Linked DNA regions of Yarrowia lipolytica. The protein of the gene in region 2 interacts with the protein of the main gene of each other region in a biochemical or structural test. Links are inferred from orthologs where the notes say so. Each region holds a gene or a part of one and is shown on either strand. Other genes may lie near its edges.

Region 1 (10,322 bases), on a different chromosome or scaffold from region 2:
CTGGGCGGCGTCGGACAGCAGGTTCATGATGATAGTTCCCTTGCCAATGGCCTCGTTGACGTCAAAGAGGTTCTTGCCGGGGACCCAGCCGTCCTCCTGAGCGGCCTTCCACGAGGCGCCGTCCTTTCGGACTCCGATGATGACGTTGAGGCCGTTGTCTCGCATGTTGAGACCCTGGCCGTAGCCCTGGGAGCCGTAGCCGATCAGAGCAATGGTGTCGTTCTTGAAGTAGTCGAGCAGCTTCTCCTGGGGCCAGTCGGCTCGCTCGTGGACAATCTCGTCCTCCTTTCCGTTGAAGGAGATGGTCTTGATGGTTCGGGCCACGGCGGGGGCGGACAGCTTGAAGGCGGGTCGGGTAGCAGCCATGGAGATGGGATCGGGAGGCAGACACACGGTGGCCAACTCGGGCAACGGCGGGCTCGAGAGCAGCCTGTCGAGAGGCAGTGGAGAAAAGTCGGGCAGACATTACTGTGGTGTTGTGTTGGGGGGGATTGGTTGTGAGAGAAGAAAGAGAGAAAAAATCGGCGGACTTTCAGCGTCGTTATATAGACCACGTTGGGCACTTTGGAGCTAAGGTTACAGTGCTCCGACAACAAGGCGATTGGGAGCAGATGAAAAGTTTAGGTTGGCAATTGGCCAATCGGGAGGCCGCAAATCAGATCAAGGTTTGGCAGCAGTCTGCCGATGTCGCTGGAGTGGATTTACGGTTTGAATTTTGCAGCGAAAAAAGAGTCATGGATAGATGCAGACAGTGAGTGAGTGATATGCCGATGGTGATGCCGATGTGGATGCCGATGTGGATGCCGATGTAGGGGCCGATGGGAACGGCGAGGCAGCAGCGGTGACGAGCGGTGACGAGCGGTGACGAGCGGTGAGACAGAAGCATTGAGTCATGGAGCTGGGTGGAGATGGGGTACAAGATAGGTGGTGGTGACTCACTGTACATCTGGTACTACTGTATTACGTACTACAGGTACAGTAGTATGGTTAGATCAATTGCTCTGTCTGCTGGAGTTGGCTGGTGTCTGATTGTCACGGGATTGTTAATACATCCAAGAGTTGAAGATTCCGTCATTTTTCAGCGACGTCGTTGATGAGGTTGATGGCGTTCAACCACTTGTAATCTCGGCCGGAGTACAACATGGTCCACTCATAACCACTCAATTCGAGCTCTACATCTAGCCGTCCACTCGCTACCACACTCTCTCACTAAACTCACTACACCCACTCCATCATCTTACCCCACAATTCTCTCGCCTCCAGACAGACTAACAAAGACCATTATTACACTTTTAATAGACCGGAGGTGAATGAACAGCCCCGTCGGAGGGTTAGTTTAGCGACACGCCAGTGTCTTAGATCCGATCTGGGCCAAGATGGATGCCAGAGTCCAACAGATCCGGACTTGGGGACAGTCTTGTAGGCGACTTTCGTACAGGCTTCAAGGAGGAGACTCCCAGTACAGTACTACAAGTAGTCGTAGTATAAGAGTGTCTGTGCTGCCACTTTCAAGTTTCATACAACTGTACCTGTTAATCTTTCCCCATAGCTGATGAGCCTCTGTTTCTTATAGACCTACCCACTGTCGTAATCCCTGGATCCCGTACTATATGACAGTCAGTAGGTATACTGTACTTCAACGTCCCCCGGACCTCCATTGTTCCCTGAGGCTCGGTGATATCGACACTCCGAAAGCTACCGATATCGCTTCTCGACAGCGACATTGTCACCACTCCAATCAACTCCGCTCCCGCTCCTCTCGCTTCCCCATATCTCGCGCCCACAGGGCCGGCATAGAACACATTAGGTTTCAACAACCGTTGGTTCGAAGGCAATATCTCGGTCAATAGTTGGTATAATTCAAAGCGGACTTTACCATTGGACTCCTTGAGCTTCCCTCGTTCTTTCTCTACCCTCGGATCCGATTACTTACTAAAATTCACCCTGCTATTCACATTCCTCGCTCCTCCCCCCCCCACATATGCACTCACACTCTAAGCTCCTCGGACGCACCGAAACCGATGACGGTCATAGCCGTGTGACCGGCCACAGCGAATTAGGTCCAGAGTGCATGAATACTGCCGGAGTTGAGCATCTCACTGAGCGTGACTCTTTGCGTGAAAATTTTAGACTTTGGTGAAAAATATAAACTCCACGCCGATATCGCTCAGGCACTCAACCCCCGCCCGATCACACGCAAGGGACTCTTTGTGGAGCGACAACGGCGTCTTTAGCCGATTTTGGGGGAGCACGTGCCGCAGCAAACCTCCGTGCGACATCGTCGGTGTCGCCCAGAAGACCATGTACCTGATCAGAAGAGCTCCAGATCAGACCCAAACCTCACATAGCCTTGCTCTGCGTGTCACATGCCTCGGCCCACGGTGCATGATTCAGGCCGCAATTGGTGGGGAAAGTGAGATAACAGCTCGGGCTTTTGATTGGTGCATTAGTCACGAGAGGTGGATGATTAGTCAGGAGACTCCAGTTGGTTGTGGTCCGGTTTCCTAAGTGTGCAAATGTATATTTCTCGCAATTTAGTTGGGGAGATACTAGACTCACACTTAGCACTGAACACTTTTCTCCTGGAACTTTTTTCGGGACTCCGCCTCCTACAAAACCAATATATGCACGGTGCAGATCACAATCAAACCCCGCAGAGCGCTGGCGAGCTCGTGCATGACGGGAAATGACCAGTTGGTGGTGTTCTCTCTGATGCCATATGTTTCTGGTGTCATATGTCGCTGGTACGATCTACCAATACTTGTGCAGTATGTACTGTACATACTGGAAAAGATGTTGCTGGTATAAGACAGTCCAAGACCCCAAAGCTGTCAATTGTGGACGGTAGAAGAGAAATATAAGTACAAGAACGGTACTTGTAGAGAGATTATAAGTCTTCTAAAGAGATGATCAGATCAGACATGAAAATCTCCAGTCTTGAAAAATCGTGCTAATTGTGGTTTAAATGTGTAGAAGCAAGAATCGAACCTGTGCGAGTACAGATGTACTGTAGTGGGCGTGAATCTAGGCGACGATCGATACTGTACATCTTCAACTCATTCTCCTACACTCGACAAAAATATTCACGTGATCAGTGTCGCGAGAATCGTATATTCACGTGATTCAGAGCACTCGTACTCGTATCGATAGTATCGCCGTTCCTAATGTCACGTGACAACAGTCGATTCTGTCGTGACCCTCAATTAGGAGTACCTCCTTGTAAAAGACCGACCTCATGTGGATCAGATTGTGTCCGCGACTTTCCCGTCTATCACGTGACTTTCGTTTTAAAACGTGACTTTCCGGCGTATCACGTGACTTTCCGGCGTATCACGTGTCACACTCCCCTTACTTGTAGAGGCCCTACAGTTTGTAGCTGAGTAATACGATACTCGTATGTACCAAACTGTATAGCTCAACCAGATCCTCTACCAACCCCCCCCCCAGGTCTGGTCACGTGAATAGTCACGTGTCCAGCCATTCCCATGCGTCATTATGGGGGTTCTCTCGAATATTGAAGGAAAAAAATATCGCCGATATTGCACAAAATATATAAACAGAGATTGCCCGGTTGTATGTACAGATTTGTACAGTCTAAATTGGTGACATATGTCAAAACTCTGAGACCGGGATAATGGCCAAAAATGGCATGAAATCAGGCAAAAAAGCGCAAAAGGTCTTGTGAACCGCCAAACCACGGCCTCTAGACCACATTGATGTCTTCTTCTCATCACCACCACGTCACAATGCACTGACAACGGTAAATGCGCGTTTTCAGCCTCATTTATGAAAAGTAAACTATTTACAAAACAAATAATACCATTGTATCCCTCAAAGAACAGCGATTCCAATGGCACCAATTTAACCACCATCCAACGTCTTTTGGGGCTACACTGGTGAATATTTGACATACCCCTAGATGGGATTTTTTAGGTTGGCCACAACAAGTGTCATAGCAACGGGTCACGTGGGAGCAACGGACGTGTTTGCGGTCGGATTTACGCGCCGAAAATGGTCACGTGAGAGACAATTGCACCACAAGTCACGTTCACCTTCCATGTCTACTCCAGCGCCCACAGTTGCCGATTTACGGGAATTCCGCTCAAACCCTAATCCAACCTACACCGTATCAAAACACAACTCCACCACCATCACGAACCCCACAGCACTAACAATATCCAGACTTATTTGCAACCATGGAACAAGAGAAAACGGTGCCTGTGGACATGAATGTGCCACACAAGAACAGTGTGTCGCTGAAAATTGGGCTCATTGGAGACGCGCAAATCGGCAAAACGTCGCTGATGGTCAAGTATGCCGAGGGAAATTTTGACGAGGACTACGTGCAGACTTTGGGGGTGAACTTCATGGAAAAAACGGTGTCGATACGAGATACGGAGATTACGTTTCTGATTTGGGATCTGGGTGGCCAGCGGGAGTTTGTCAACATGCTTCCGCTGGTGTCCAACGACTCTGTGGCGATTCTGTTCATGTTTGATCTCACGCGAAAATCGACTCTCAACAGCGTCAAGGAGTGGTACCGGCAGGCTCGGGGGTTCAACAAGACGGCGATTCCGTTTCTGGTGGGCACCAAGTACGATCTGTTTGTGCAGTTACCCAAGGAGGACCAGGAGGAAATCACCCAGCAGGCCAAGAAGTTTGCCAAGGCCATGAAGGCGTCGCTCATTTTCTGCTCCACGTCGCATTCCATCAACGTGCAAAAGATTTTCAAAATCGTGCTGTCCAAGGCGTTTGACCTGAAGCTGACGATTCCGGAAATTACCAACACTGGCGAGCCCATTTTGGTGTACCAAGGTGTTGGTCAGTAATTATTTATAGCGAGCAGGCGCAACCTGTGAGCCAGACAGGAGGATGAGCCGAGGAGGGGTGGATGGGCCGAGGAGGATGGGTAGAGCGAACCAAGCAGGAGGACGACCAGACAGGAGGAAAACCAGGTCGGAGGATGAGCCGAATTGGCAGGAAGGCACAACAGACCCGAGCACGCCCGAACACGCCCGAACAGACTCAGCCTAGCTCAGCCTGTCAAGTGGACATCTGAACAGTAGAAATGAAGCATTGACTTGGAGTGATGTGTAGGTTGAGATGTACCAGGGTGCCTGGTAGGTAATGTAGATGTAAACAGTCTAGATTCTCTATCGAACATCTGGATGATCTGGATGATCTGGATGATCTGGATGATCTGGATGACCTGATTGAATCTGACTATGATTCTTTCTCTGCTGGGTGGACATTTTGTCGGTCTTCTACTTCAGGTTTTCATCGATACACACGGAAAAGCAGCTACAAGTAGAAGTAGGGACACGAAGAAGCGATAGAGACCGACCGGCAGGTTTTTCATACTGGGGTGTTACTACAGTATGTACAGTAATTAAAGAGCTCTTCATGTAGAAGACCAGAATCGGTCCTATTGATGATCAAATATCTCAATAGAGCAGAAATTTGAAGTGCTCGATACCGTAGAATTGCCTAAGGTGTTTATATATGGTCCACAGCACAATGCTACAAGAACAGGACAGGTCCATATGAAATCATTGGAGGGATATTTTTGCAATTATCAAAGTATTAGATAAGTTTTTGAGAGTAAATAAAAGAAAAACCATCTTCGACGCCTCCGCTAATCTTGCAAAACATCTTTATAATTTTTTTAATAACATATTTATATTTCCAAGTATGTTAACTTGGTAAGTTTGTTGGGTTTAGTTGGAATGACAGGTTCATATAATGGTCTCATTTCAAGAGGTTGTAGTTGTAGTGACAATAAGACTGAAATAACGACAGATTAGTACTATAAAATGGGTGAAATGGGACAGATTGTACATTCTTTTATCGCAACTTTTAGTGGAAAGTGTGTTGGAAAGGATGTAAAGTTACTCCAAAAACGGTCACCCATATTTGACAGATACCGAAGTTTGAGTGGGCACATGGCTGAATGAGGTCGGCCGCGACATCTCCATTTTGTATATTAAGTAAGTATTTTTCTGGCATAATACTGATAATGAGATGTATTTTATAATAAAACATTCTCAGATTTCTCTTATCCATCCTATGACATCGGTTACAACAATATCTCGTTTTGGTTTTATCTTGGTTTAATCTCTCAATCATAGTTGAGAACCTAGTTGGAATTAGTTAGCCTGAAACAACAGGACACAGCTCGTCTCATCGTCCACATTTATTTGAAATAAACGCTTAGAGATACACAATTGTTTCTATTGAAGATCTCTGTGATATTCCCATCTTCTAATATCCATCGCTGTCTATTTTGTAGACACTTGTTACTTGACGTTACTGTTTTGTACTGTAGTAAATCCTCAACTGTCTAGACACCTTAAACTACAAGTAGACCCACCACCTGAACACACTTTTCCTCCTTCACACCACTTTTTCAACGGCACAGACACCAACAAAGCGGCAGATGCAATCATGTTTCGTCTCCAATTCGCTGTTGGTGTTTGTGTTGGAGTGGAGTGGTGGCTATAGGTGGCGATCTCCAAGTGGAGGAGCTGCGGTTGTGAACACGGCAAATGGCAGAACAGAGATACACAGATGGACTGACCCAATTGGTGTTAGTATCAACGATAACCCTCGATTGTCCTGCTTCTACCCCATCAAAGTGGACTTGGCGACTTCAGAACGCGATCTCGACTGTTCCTTGTATATCTCGAGACGATCTCACTGAGTTCTGTCGGTTAGGTTCTACTGATGGACTGCTTCACAGAACACTGATACGGATAGGGATGTTTGGGCAACTACTCATTCGCACACCCATGTGCCAAGTCAGAACACAGGGTTCTTCTGCCGCCACGAAGAACTCAAGTTAACACTGCTGTTGCGTCACGAGACGTTGTGTCGAGAACCTGTGGTATGAGTCCTTTGACAAGCCAGGGTGGCATCATGACTGAAGGGTACAGGAGTCGAGTGTTCAGTGTGCTCTACGTAAGGTTCTTATCTACAAGTCGTCATCACAGGATGTTTTTCTGAGGTACAATAGAGCACAGGGGCACACCAGAGTTCAGGGAGCACTCCAGAAATCAGAGCACACAGTCCCTACGATTCACATTGCCTACGACAGACATTGCTCGCCACAGACGCGGTCTACAGCGGACACTGCCTACGATACAACTGACACTGCCTACAACAGACAATGTGGCGCACAAGTTTACTGGAAAGATCCCATTGTTCCAGCCCCAGTATTATGCGCCGTTTGAAGACTGCGTCGACAAATCGGGCTGTGTGCATTACTGTCCGAAAAGTCTCGCGGGCCAACGTCGCGGCCAGATCGTGTTTGTTGCCATAGCTACAGCTGTACCTCAGTCTCAGCTCTGCTAGAACCAGTCCACCAGCCTCACTACGATACGAGTCGAAGGTATATCAGCCTTACCTATTACCCTGAGTCAGGGGTAATAATAAAAGAGAGCGTGCTACTGGATCTCGCAGTATTCTGGGTCTCCTATGAAACCACTGCACCCCTTGCAGGAGGAGGAGCTATACGAGGCGGTTTAGGCGCAGCAAGATGGGGTGGTGTCTCGTTTCAGGTTGATGAGTTGGGATGTCAGAATTAGTTGAGAATTACTTGGGACGAACTTCAGCAACTCGAAGACTTTTCCAGACCTCCAAGATAGTCTTACAACTGCGAGTGCAATACACAGCAAGTCTTTCCCGGAATGACGTCATCTACTCACTCTCCCCACTCCCCCCACTCCTACGAGTACTCTCCTCACTCGTGTTACGCGTGTTATTTTTAACCATCTGTCTTTTCTTGCTTCCTCCCGTGCACGATCGTCGGTAAAAAAAAACGGCTCCGGTGCATTCTTTTGGCCCGTTTCTGTGACTATTTTTGGCCCGTTGAAGTGAGATGACGTGTGTGGACTCAGAATATGCATGCGTTTGAAAAGATGACGTTCAAAGTGCCTCCTATCTGTCCCCCGAGCACCCCCGTGACAAGAGCCAGGTTGATACACGCTAATATGATGACCTCCATCTCCACACGGGCTAAAAATAGCCCACATACGAGATGCGTGGAATAAGCGAGCAGGGTAGGGGTTCGAACCTACAGTACAGTGGTGTCTCTTTTTGGGAAGTATGTAAACGGGAGAGAGTTGGTAGAGTTGGGTTCTATTAGTCTGTGGTGAGCTGAGAGAGATTGTGTTATGATATAGCCGTGGTGTATACACAACCGTAATGGCCATGGGATGGGGGTGTTTGAAAGGGGAGGCTTTTGTGTCTCAGAATTTTCGTATTTTGCCCAAAAGGCCCCCCAAACAGCCCCAAAATGGGTGTCGGCGCGCTATGCCTCATCTCTCTTTTCTCCAACTATAGGCTAACGCCGGCCAAGACAAATACGATCGGTTCACGTGTATAGGGGTTTGAGGGGAGCCAGTTGGTTGCGATGGTTTCGAGATGGTTGCAAGGTGGTTGCGGGAAATGGCAGATTTGGGAGGCGCGATGGGGATATGAGGCCACGTGGCTACCATGGGACAGCCGCCAAATTTGGAAGTACAGAGAATCTCAAAGCTCCTCTTTTTCTCTCTCAAATTGTTTGGCTGCTCTGTGGATGTGGCATCTGGTATTAACGGCACGCGCGTACAAGGTTATCCAGGAGAAGGGAGGAGTATAGAGAGAGAGTGGGAGGGGAGGCAAGAAGAGGGTGAGTCGAAAAGGACTCTTTAGGGGGTAAAAGTGGGTGGAAAAGGTGTCAGGAGAAAGATACGGGCTCCAACATGGGTCTGAGGCCCTTTTCCCGGCCAAAATCGACCATATTTGCGCCGTCGTCGGATTGTGCATTCCACTTCTACTTTTAGCAACAAGGTGCACGTCAGAGTTTCACATCCAACTCAAATCTCCAACCGTGCATATAAACATGTGGCTTAATATAATACCGTGGGAAAAAGCTGAGGAGAGACAAGCTACAAGTTCCTGGTTACAAGTTCCACACGGTTGCACTGCTAGACGACGAAAAATCCCTGCCAAGCACAGATAAAGACGACTTTTCCACATTCACTGCGCAACATTCGCATTTTTTCGACGCACTAAAACAGACTTAGTGAGTATGAGACGGAGTCAGGTTTCGATCTGGCTACAAGTGAGAGAATAGAGGCGCCACAGAGCCAGTGGAGGTTGGCAACGAGCCTGTCGAGCGGGTCATTTAGGTGCAATACCCAACCAGTCACTCGATATGTTCTACCGATAACGGTGTGTTCTACCTGTGTTCGACCGATAACAATGTGTTCGACTGCTCTGCTCAACCTCTGTTCGTGATCCGAGTCACCAGATGTGTCAGGACTGGAACATGAATAAGAGTGGGTTTGGATGAACGTTTGGGTTCTTCTGGTGCGACTTTTGTAAGACTCTGGGGTGCTTCTGGACGCTACTGGTATGTCGTCTTCGCTCCAGACAGCCCACCGCTGTCTGATATCTCTACCAAGTCTGGACTGGCTGCACCATCACCCCTGGACTCCACAGTCGGCACAGCCAGCAATACTCCTGCACCATTGGATGTGCCTAAAGTCTTCTGGTAGCACCATGGTGCCATCCACCGAGTCTATGATAGTCTCTGATACGTCTACTTCAGTCTGCTCTTTGACGGGCGTTTAGAGGTCTGACTGTCACTGATATCGTCTCCACTCGTGACTACCTACCACCAATTCCTACTCGCTTTGATCATCGTGTAAAAACAGCTCGTGATCTACGACCACTTACTCTCGACCACAGTGCTAACCCAGTGTCCTACCAACGCCCCAACCCCAACCCTTTTGAAGGTGAGCGGTTGAGTGACTCTGATCACGAGGGATACAACGATACAGGCCATCCCAACCTTTCAAACCCCCACCTCAACCAAGACACGTCCTACAACCCCTCGTATAACTACACACCCAACACCTCCGCCCCCTACCCTGTTCCCACAGTCAACGTCAGCGGAGTGAACCGAACCCCTTCCGGCAACCACTATGAGGACCCCAGCGAGTACGGCTACCATGGTAACACGTCTAACCTCTACCAGATGGACTCGTTGACTCCCAATCACACCATCAATGATTTCCACGAGCATGAAGGCGACATTACTCGAGCGTCGTTTCAGAACGACGATGACCGAGTCCCTCTGAGAGATGAGACTGCCTACCACGGCTACCAGGGCCCTTTTGTAAGCGAAAACGAGCACCATAATGCCCAACAGGCCCCTCTCCCCACCCCTACCCCCATCAGCAGCATCATGAGATTCACCATGCCGAATCCACCACTGCTCTTCCCCAAGGCGAGCAGATTGGAGGCGAGTACATTGACTTGGCCGAGGCCCAGAGGGA
Region 2 (10,690 bases):
AGACTGATTCTGAGTGGTATTCCTGCCGATCAGATCGACACGGTGGCCATCAAGAGCTTCTTCACAGACTTCATCGAGGGTCTGGAGCTGCAGGGATCCAAGGAACGGATTGTGGACGGAGTTTACAAGCATCCTCGTCTCCCCGAGGTGTTAGTGGAGTTCTTTTCTGCGGAAATGGCAACCTTAGCCCTGGCTCTGTCTGGTCTAGGTATCAATTACTCGGGACCCCCCATTAGTATACGACGACCGTCCAACTACATTTGTCCTACGCCAGAGAGAAGCGAAGTTTCAAGAAGATCGCTGGACGAGGAGAAGGAGGTGGCTTCTGTGGTGGAGGACTCCAACACGAAAATCATTGTGTGGGATATTCCGTTCAACGTAGAAGAGGACCAGGTGCGACAGCTGACAGCATCGTTCGGTGAGCTTTCTGCATTCCAGCTCATTCGACAGCTGCCGTCTCGGGAGTCGGCGGGCATTGCTCTGGTGGACTACAAGGACCCCGAGGTGGTCAAGGACGCCGTTTCAGGGCTGTCAGGACAGGTGATTGGTGGAAAGAACCTCAAGGTAATGCTAGCATGTGAAGGACCCACGCAGTTGTCGTGTTCGTCCAACAACGGGTTGAAGGGAATTGTGACGGTCATGAATGACGTCAAGAGCCGGCCGGAGTCGTCGGTCATTGTTCTGTTCAACCTGGTGACTCTGGACGAGCTGCTGGATGATGTGGCCTACAGAGAAATCACCGAGCAGGTCGAGTCCGAGTGTCTCAAATATGGAGGAGGAGAAGAGGTCCAAATCAAGATCCCACGACCTGACCCCGAGGCCATGAAGGCGTCGTATCGACGGCTAATCTTTGAGACTCGTCCAGGTGTGGGAAAGGTTTACGTCAAGTTTGCCAGTGTGGAAACGAGTCGAGTGGCGATGCAGAAGTTGACGGGCCTGCGGTTTAGCAGGAGAAGTGTCATTGCGAGTTATTACTCGGAGGAGTGTTTTGACATGAATGTGTTTTAGATAGTTGAGCGCAACGGAGAGACACTTGTTCCAGGACTCTCAATCGGAGCAGTGGAGTGCGAACGAGCTAGACATTGTGACGCTCTCTACTCTGATATGAAGGTTCATCTATCATTATTGTGTTTGTCATCATGGATTTTGGCTGGATTGGATATAATGATACCGAGTTTCCTTCGGGGTTATAGGTCTTTACATTAATTGTACATTTGAATAGTTGGATTTTTGTATAAGGGTATGAGCAGCAAGAAAGCAATTTGTAGAAAAATGAGTAGGAAGAGCGCGATTTTCACATTGTCGCAGTTCTGAACACTCGTGGAATGTCAAACAAATAATTAAAAAATAAAATAAAAACAAATAAAAATAAAAATAAAAATAAATCTTAGATTATTGTGTTTTTTATTTAATTTTTTTTATTATAACATTAATACATTAAACTCTATATTTAATAAGACAAGTACTTGTACTGTAGGTAAACCGCTGAATGTGATCGACGGATTAACTCTGACCCAGCTCTCTCTTAAAATAATGCGATTAAAAAATAAAAATGAAAATAAATAAATAAATAAAGATCAATAAATTAAGATAAATAAAATAAAGATCAATAAATAAAGATAAATAAATAAAAAGACGTACACATAGAATTCCACACGTTGAACATGAACCACGAGAGAAACGTTGCTCGTTCTATGGTACAGATACTCCATGGTCCACCAAACTCTCAGACTCGTATCGAGGCATAAAGTTGAGGGCCGAGTCAGAGATGCAACGTCTCCCCCACCATCAAACTCAGCCCACAGACATGACCCTACTCCCTCACGCTAGGTTAGCAAGGTGGTTGAAAAAAGCGACCACGTTCAGATATCACATCACGATTGTTTTCTTTTGTCGTTGAGTATCCCCATGTTCTTTGTAGGTTGGCTCTTCCTAATACCATAATGTTTTTCATCATTGGTTGTGCGGATCGGGTCTTTCTCCAGGTGTACTTACCGTTAGTTTGGGGTTCACAGAATCCAAACAGCGTACCACCCGCTTTATATACCCTGACTTTCGGGGCAACTGGCGCTTCTGTTTTTAGCCACCGATCGCAATGGCGCTTTCTATTGGACCGCCCTCGACTTGCACTGCACCGCACCACATGGCACCAAACTCTGAAACCATGCTGGAGGTGGATATTTGGGGCTGGGAGCGGCGTTTGGAGACCGTGAGGTTGCCTGAAACGACACCGAGGGTCCGCCGGTCGTTTTTCGCCGTCTTCTGGACCCCCAAATGCCCCCAGGTCTACCCCGGATCATTTTACTTCTCACACGCCCCCTTTGCTTTCATCATGTTGATGCACGCAAATATAGTGTTTGGAAGGAAAGAAGAAAAAAAAAAAGGAAGAAAAAAACCGGAAAAACCAATAAAAAATGGGAAAAAATGGAAAACTTGCAGACTGGAATTTACGTCGATGAGATGCGAGAACCCAAGAATCAGTTTGGTAGTCAACAGAGAGCATTTCAGGTGGGTTGTGAAGACGTGAATATACGAAGATACGAAGATACGAAGATACGAAGATACGACCTCAGATCACGTCCATCTCACTCATTGCCTGAACGACTGGTACATTCAACGATTGTCAGGTGTTTCGTCACAGGCAGGGTAACTACAGAGAAGTGTATGCTACAGTACTTGTAGTAGGGTTGGATGAATCCATGAGAACGAGGACTGCATCAGAGATACTGGTGGTGCTAATACTCCACCTTCCGATCATGTCCAGTAAACGCGTTGTAGCTAAGTCAAGTCATGAAGCATTTCTTGTATATCATAAATAGGTATGCACGGCGAGCTCTGGGCACAATACCGTGGTTGTATGTGCAGTGTGGGTCGTTTCAGTCAACGTCCTACTTGTAGGTGGTAAAATACCTTGCTGTGACCACTTCTTGTCTCTCGCTTCTGGCGACTTGTCTCTTGGTTCTTGTCGCTCTCGTCTCGCCTTAAATGGTCTTGACCTCCTCATATATCGCCTCGTCATATGGATGCCTCACCAACAAATCATACAAGTCCTCGGGCAACTTGGCAACGAAACTCATGCCCAGCTTGATAATCTCCTGGGCTCGCAATGGAGGCAGGGACCGCAGAAGAGACATGGGCGACTTGCTCTCCAGCAGCTTGTCTCGCATGAGATTGACCTGCGCAATCACAAACAACACGTTCATGTGAACCCCGTAGGCAAACAGGAAATCCCACAGCACGACCACCTCAGACAGCGGCGGAGTGCAAGCAGATAGCGTGAGCACCGATGCAAACGCGTACAACTCGGCCTTGAGCATCTTGGAGTTGAGGTACTTGTAAAGAGTTGGGTCAATGATCTCCAGACACTTGTCGATGAGGGCCAGAGCAGAATGCACTCCCTCCAGAGTGGGTTTTACGTAGAGAGGGCAGTCCCGAGACAACATGACGTCCAGCAGATTGAATGCCATTGCCTCACTTTTGCAGACGTACAGGAACGGGGCTGCGAGGACGTTCATACCTTGAACGTACTGATCTCGGTGTGATTTTTGCAGGTGGTCAATGCCCTCTTCCAGACTCGCCTTTTGCTCGCGCATTTCATTTTTCCATGCGTATGAGTTGAGAACTCGGATGAGCGCGTCTTCCGGCACCTTTTGCTTGAACACCGTGTCTGTGGCCATTGTCCTGAACGTGTCGTTTCGGATCTTGCCGTACATGGGCGAAGGGCCCAGCTTGATGAGTCTGATGTAGTCTTCAGCACGGGTGGGAGGCACCTGGAGCAAAACAGACCACACTGTTGCTCGGTAGGTGCATTCTGCCTGGTCGTTGGCCTTCAACCCCTCCACCAGAACGAGATATCGCAACTGTCCAAGTGAGCTCTTGAGAATGATGGGAGTCTTTGATAGGAAGTTTTCGATTGTATCTTTTCGGCGCGAGCGCGGTTTGGTCGGCGATTTGCGCTCGCTGAACGAAGATATGCTGGACGTTTTGCGCAGGTCGCGTTCCAGCTTCTCCAAACTGTCTCTTCGTGACATGTGTGAGCTGCTTTTGTTTGGGGTGCGTCGGAGGTGGAGATTTGGGCCACGAAGCTGGTTGTTTGAAGTGGGAAATTGGGGATCGGCGACCTGGTAGTCGGTGACTTTGATGGGATCGCTTTCAGGAGACACGAAGGCTGAACTGGATGGGGTTGCGGGTGCACTGGAAACATCACCAGTCGCCATGTTTACAAGTAGTGCATGTGCATGAATCTTAATCTCTGGAGTGTCGATAGGGGTTGAGGAGGCCGCTGGGGGCCGGAAAAGTTGATCGATTGGCGCCAGATTCGAAAACGAGTATGGATGGACCTTCTGGGGCCGCATTTTCAAGTTTCAGACCGGTGCACGGTCGCCGGCGGATGCTGTGTGCTGTTGTGCAGAGACTTTTTAGTAGTGTAAACACTCCAATGGAAGAGTATGAGCAAAGCACTGTGAGAACCAACTGGTGCGTACGATAGCGTGGAATAATATAATGCCGGAGCTCGGGAAATATGGCTTTGACTTGATTGCTGGACCCACCAACAAAATGAGCTACAGGTACAGTACAAGTACAGACAAGTGTCGCTGGTCTCACCAAAAAGTCAGTCATAATCACATAATACATTATCGTAGGCTCGTCTAGTCACCTCTAATAGTTCTACGTACAGCTGCGGCTGTATTGTTTGGATCAAGGGAATGACCCCAAACTCATGGGCCAACATCTACTGCTGGTCCTTGAAGTTGAACGGAGCATAGGCGTACCCCTCTCCCTCGAAAAACTTGGACATGGCCTCAACCCAGTGCAATCTGAGGGAATGAAGCATAGCAGATGTTCCTTCCATCATCACCAGAATGACCACCGTCAGAACAAACCACATGGCAAACATGATCACAACCATGGCTACACCGGCGGGTCCCGTGGGTCCAAAGGCGCCCTGGATAGTCATGTCCCAAAGCACAGTAGACAGCTGGGCATGAGCCAGAGACAGAGCCCATAGACGCAGGTAGGAAGCGGTATGCGACACACAGTTGAGGCAGAACTCAATGGTATGAATCACCTGGTGGATCATCACCTCTCCAAACTCAAACTGCTCGTGTCCCTCACCTTCCTCTTCAAACTCCTCAATGGTCATATCGAACGAGTCTGCGTCGTCGTCAGTGTCACCAATATGGTAGGCATTGGGCTGTCGAATGGCGTCATATTGTGTCTGCTTATGCTGTCGTCGCAGGTAGAGCGGCTTGAGAAGGAGCAGCCACGGAACACAGACAAGCGCAATAAGCACCAGAATGATCTGCACAAACTTTTGGCCGGGATACAGAGGAGCATCGATGGTGCCTGGGCTCAAAAACATGTTGATGAGCATGTTCAGCAGACCAGGAGGGGTCTTATCCTTGGCAATCCAGTCTACGCACCACTTGTACACAATGGTGAGCGAAAGGTAACCGAAGATGGATTGCATGAACAGCAAGCCAGGTACAAAATTGCCCCAAATATCAATCTGCGAGTTGAAGAACTTGTAGTTGAGGAAAGAGAAGAAGAAGGAGTAGCTCATGTGGGTGAAACCCATGAGAATCGACAGCTTCATCTTGTACGAGTTTGTGAACAGCAGGTTGTTGTCTGTTCCATGCCATGCGGGATCCAGGCCAAAGGGGTAGACTCCCGTTTGGTGGGCTGTGATACGCTCTTTTTCCTCCCAGCTCTCAGGCCAGGCCCATCCCGATCTGAACAGTGTCATACTCTTGGAAAAGATATCGTTGTACATGAGACCTGTGTAGAGCGAGAAGATGCCCATCAGTAGCACAATGTATCTGCCCGAGAAGGCCATGTCGAAGATTTCGTCTCGGTTTCGCATCTTGAGAATGCTCTTTTCCTTGAGCACCATGACGAGTCCTGCCAGGGCCAGAATAACACCATGACCCAAATCACCAAACATGATAGCAAACATGAATGGAAAAGTGACAACAGTCGCCAAACCAGGGTTGATTTCCTGGTACGACGCAATACCGTACGCGTCGACAATGAGCTGGAAAGCCGCCGTGAATTTGTTGGTTCTGTGGAATGTTGGTGGAGTCTTTGACGTTTTGATTTCGTTGAGAATCGAATTGATGGCCACTCCGGACGACAGAGTCACATCGCGGAGCACCTCCTGGACGGCTCTAAAGTCCGCCTTGGGGATCCATCCCTCGGCGATCAGACATCGACGGGTCTGGTCGTAGTTGAACATGTTGAGAGTGTGGTAGATGGCCTTTTCTTTGTTGGCCAGAACCTCCCAGTGGGGCAGAGTATTGGCAGCGAGAGCCAGCTCGGTCATGAGCGCATTGTTAGTGGATCCTAGGACGTTGTCCACGTCCGCAAGCTTGATGTTTAGCTCTTCTACCTGTTCTCGTCGTGTATCAAAGTCCTCCGAGACAGGGTACAGAGTGGCGTCCAGGGTGAGGGCGATTCGCTTGATTTTCGCCAGCAGCGACTCTCCGTGTCCAAAGACAATGAACACGTCCTTTCTAACGCCCGCCAGCGGCTTTTCGATCGCCTGGTGTCGAAAATACAGGTTTCCACGCAGAGATCGCCACAGGATCCGCTCGAAAATGGCGGTTTTGGTCGAGGGGATGACTCCGGTGACAAACGAGAGCCCCGCCACCGAGTTCCAGGTGACTGTTGCGGCCTCCACGTCTGGCTGAGGGTCGTCCAGGTCGTACAACAGGCCCGCTCGGTCGCCCTCTAGAGACGCTCGAATTTCGTGTCTGTTTTCTCTGGCGTCTGCAAAGAAGATGCCTGCCGTCTGGACCATTTCTCGACGTTCCAGAATCAGCGCACGCTTGTCAACCAGCTCATTCCAGGTTGTGTCCAGGTGTCCCACGCGCTCCTCCAAAGCCCCGACCTGGTGACACATGTTGTCCACCTCGTCCAGAGTCGGAGCCGCCACTCCCTCGGGCTGCTCATCGATTGCCACGCCATGCTTGTCGATATGCGCCCGCAGGCCGCGCAATTGGCGCTCCACGCCGTCCACGCGGCGAATTTCCTTGATGAAGGACCGCTGAAAAACGTTGACCGAGGTGTTGAGGTCTCTGAACATGACCACGCCCAACTCTCCTAGAGCCGCAACCACGTCTCGGCCGATTTCACTGGCCACGTACAATTGGACCAGCGACATTTCAGCCGACCGAAATATCGCCTCACGTTCCATCGCAGCTGTTTCCATGATGGCGGTATGAGTAGATGACGAGAGGATGATATGCCACTTGTCAACCTTAACATTACTAAGTGGCAGAGGTCTGGCTGCATGGACGACCGACTGCAAGAGACCAAAGATGCAACAGGGAGGAGTCCCAGGGTGGTACAAATGTTGGTGACGACCGTGCTACAGCCTAGTCACATGATCTCATTGGCTTATTAATACCCTTTGCTTTCGTTGCACCTTCAAAACCCCGCATTTTTCACCACCACCAACTTTTCACCGCTTCTTGGCACTACGTGTACAATCTTACTCTAGGGTCGGCTCCGCGGCTTATCAGATTCTTTCCGATAAGCTCTGGGATGCAGCTTGGGGTCATCTTGTGTAGCTGGAGCGAATGGTGTCCGTTTTCGAGACTTTTTTTGCTTCCATTTCCGCCCATTTCGCGCAACTCGTGAATCATATAGGGCCCTTACTTTTGATGCAATCTTACAACAGTACGATACGACTGTCGGCGTATTTTAATGTTAAAAATTCAGTATGAAATGAAGAAGAAAAAAAAAGAAAAAAAACTGGATAAAAAACTGGATAAAAAAGGAAAAAAGAAAATGTTGGATGATACTTATATCTAGACGGGAAGTGATCAGAGGAGACAGGAAAATGTATCGTCGGAATCCCCGAGACTGGGAGAATCGATTTCCGTTGTCATATTTCAGATGCGACGGAAACTGCGCCGTTCAGCTCCTGTTCTTCTCTCAAATTGCAACTCCCAACAGAACTGTAAAGCTGCGAGAAAAAACCGTAGTGCAATGGAAGTAGTTATGTTGCAAAGTACAGTTTGTAGGCGGTTTGGGTGGCGGGTGCTGGTGGCAACTGTATGTGTGGATATGAGTATGAGCAATAGTTTTTGGGGATGGTATTTTTTTGCACGTTGCACGTGACTACTTGTAGTTAGTAAGTAAACCAGATTTCTGTTTCACCTCAATTTGTTCAACAATTGACTCTCAGCGTCAGTTTTGAAACACGTGATTTCCCCACAGACGATATTACGTCATCACACAGCCCGCACTAATTATAGGTGCCTTCTGCACGATATACAGTCCCACACCAGGCAGCATCAAACAGACGCGGACAGGAGGGATTTGCCCGGAATTAAGTCGCACAGACAACTCAAGCCGATATTCCAGCTCACTGTCTTACCCAGCCTTCCCAAAGTAGGTTCTACGACAGGGCCCAAACCGGGAGACTCCCACAACAGACTCTCACAACAGACTCTCACATCAGACTCAACCAGACGCTTAAAAAACGAGCACAGCCTCGACTGGTGACTTTGGGGACGTCTTTTTATTGACCCATTTCGCAACTGGAGTCGATTTATTGCTTTTCCGACAAAAATGCACCACATAGTGGCCCACGACAGAGAGAAGGAACGACAGCATGATTTGAGGGACATGATGCACCGCACACACTCTCGCTCGACGTCAGCAGTGAGTCCAGACGACAGCGACAAGTGTGTGACTACAGAAAAGAAAACATCCAAGCGAACGCTTCCTCAGGGAGAAACGGTGCGGTATCTGTTTGTTGACTTCAAGGCATTCCATTACTTGAGACAAGAACAGCAGTGCAGCCTGGTGAGCGAGGAGGCAGTGATTCATGGCTACGAATCTTACATGGTCGAGCAGTGGGTGTGTGAACGACGAAAAGTGACCGTCATCACATCATACACCGGAAACCAGTCCAACACCGTGCGTGTCGGTGTCTTGGCCTTGCCCAGAAACCCCTCGTTATGGACCCCCCGAACTAAAGCGTATTTCGACGAGCTTCTCAAGGGCTATGCTCGAGCTAAGGAGACCGAACTTGGAGTACTGTTTGTGACTTCGTTGTCCTCGTTCCCTTCCTTCTTGACCCTGGTATCCGTGCCTGGCGGAGACGTACGAAAGACATGGGAGTATTTCGATGTCAATGAGAATCTAAAGCGAATGGGCTGTGGAGGTCGAGCATCATTGGCCATCTGTGAGCCGTCCGGAACTGCTGCGGCCAAGTTCAAGAACATCTACAAGATCCATGACAGTGTGCCCATTACTTTTGCTGCCAAGGAATTGGTGGTTCTTGTGCAGCTATCTCTCTTCTATTTTGGAGTACTACAACCCGAGTATTGCGATGGCCTTCTCTGTAACGAAACAGTTGACGCCATCAACACGTGGTGGGATATGTGGGGAGTGCGAAAGTACAACACCAAGCCCAAAGATGGTGTTTTGGGACCCACAACCGTTGCTGGTTTGATTGGGTTTGTGATTGGAGTCCGAAACCGAATGGCCTATGTGCTCAACTCCAAGGTGGCGAAAGATCCCTTTGATTGCGAGGGGTTTGTTGCTGGCTTGAGTCGATTTCAGAAACACGAACGGCTTCCCAAGACCAGAATCATCGACCAAAGAACCATGGATAGACTCTACTTGCTCACCAACAAGGGCAGTTATAACTCCGATATCATCGATCTGTTCAAATCGTCCATCAAGGAAGTGTCTGGAAAGCAGCATCTTCATATGACTGCTTCCGAGACGTTCAACCTGGAGCAACTCACCAAGTCGCTCCAGGGAGCTCGATGCAAATACCTCTGGGCTGGAAAGGGCCACCAGCGAACTGTTGATGCCTCTCTTGTATCCAACTGCGTAGGTATTCCCATGTCGTCTGCTGGACATACCGAATTGGCAGCTGCTCGAGATATCAGACGAGTTATCCGAAACCCAGCCTCTTCCACAACCACTTCATTAGTGTCAACCAACAACAATATTCCTGGAGGTGCAGACACCTCTCGACGGGCCATGTTCAAGCTCAGGAAGCCCAGAGATGTGGTTGAAGTACCTCCTTCCAGACTTTACAGAGGTATTCGAGGTAGACTTCGATCAACTTCTCCTAACGACTCGGTCGATGACGATATCGCTATCCGAGGCCACAGTTCGACTCCTGAGCTTGACCTTCCTCTCGACAACATGCTCACTGATCGTCTTCTACCTCAGGAATACAGAGATGACAGCAGTGACGATGATGACGGTCACCACTTGCGCCCTGGTCGGCAGGATAGCATCAAAACGACGAAAACGAACCACTCGGCTACGTCGTTTGACAACAGCAACCCTGCTCTTCATTTCCGGCGACGATCCAAGTCTGTGGATCAGTTCCACCACGAGCTGTCTGTTCCCGAGCAGCTGGAAAAGCACCATCGATCAGTTATGCGTCGAAATTCCTTCAGTCTGATTGAGAACTTCATTCTCCGCCAGCCCCCGGAGAAATCCTTTGTCAGTGAAAAGCGTATCCGGCGATCGTACGAAAAGTCGCAACTGTACCATTTCCTCTTCAAGCGTCATGTGAAGAAAATGCGGGATGTCTGTGAGCAGATTGACCAGGAAAGTCGAATGCTGGGCAAGGCCAAGATGCGAGATGACGTGCTGTTCGACAAGCTGACATCGTATCTCAAAAACTCATACAGAGAAGAGGCTCGCCTCAAGG

Evidence for each region.
Region 1: the proteins of YALI1_E12454g (region 2) and YALI1_D03990g form a complex in vitro, tested with the Saccharomyces cerevisiae proteins (4 studies listed by BioGRID, with this or other methods). The link is inferred for Yarrowia lipolytica from reciprocal best matches to the Saccharomyces cerevisiae genes BUB2 and TEM1.

The regions. Positions count from the first base shown.
Region 1 is NC_090773.1:394,878-405,199, forward strand, and holds YALI1_D03990g (uncharacterized protein), read left to right. Parts: upstream 1-4,196; coding exon 4,197-4,821; intron 4,822-4,877; coding exon 4,878-5,059; downstream 5,060-10,322. Other genes in the region: YALI1_D03952g (uncharacterized protein), read right to left, coding at 1-366; YALI1_D03987g (uncharacterized protein), read right to left, coding at 3,429-3,911; YALI1_D04017g (uncharacterized protein), read left to right, coding at 6,886-6,992, 7,038-7,252, 7,300-7,583; YALI1_D04030g (uncharacterized protein), read right to left, coding at 7,692-8,210.
Region 2 is NC_090774.1:1,241,031-1,251,720, forward strand, and holds YALI1_E12454g (uncharacterized protein), read right to left. Parts: upstream 4,356-10,690; coding exon 2,982-4,355; downstream 1-2,981. Other genes in the region: YALI1_E12402g (uncharacterized protein), read left to right, coding at 1-1,008; YALI1_E12421g (uncharacterized protein), read left to right, coding at 1,105-1,193, 1,648-1,900; YALI1_E12482g (uncharacterized protein), read right to left, coding at 4,733-7,210; YALI1_E12496g (uncharacterized protein), read left to right, coding at 8,578-10,690. UniProt on the Saccharomyces cerevisiae protein: Part of a checkpoint which monitors spindle integrity and prevents premature exit from mitosis. This cell-cycle arrest depends upon inhibition of the GTP-binding protein TEM1 by the BFA1/BUB2 complex.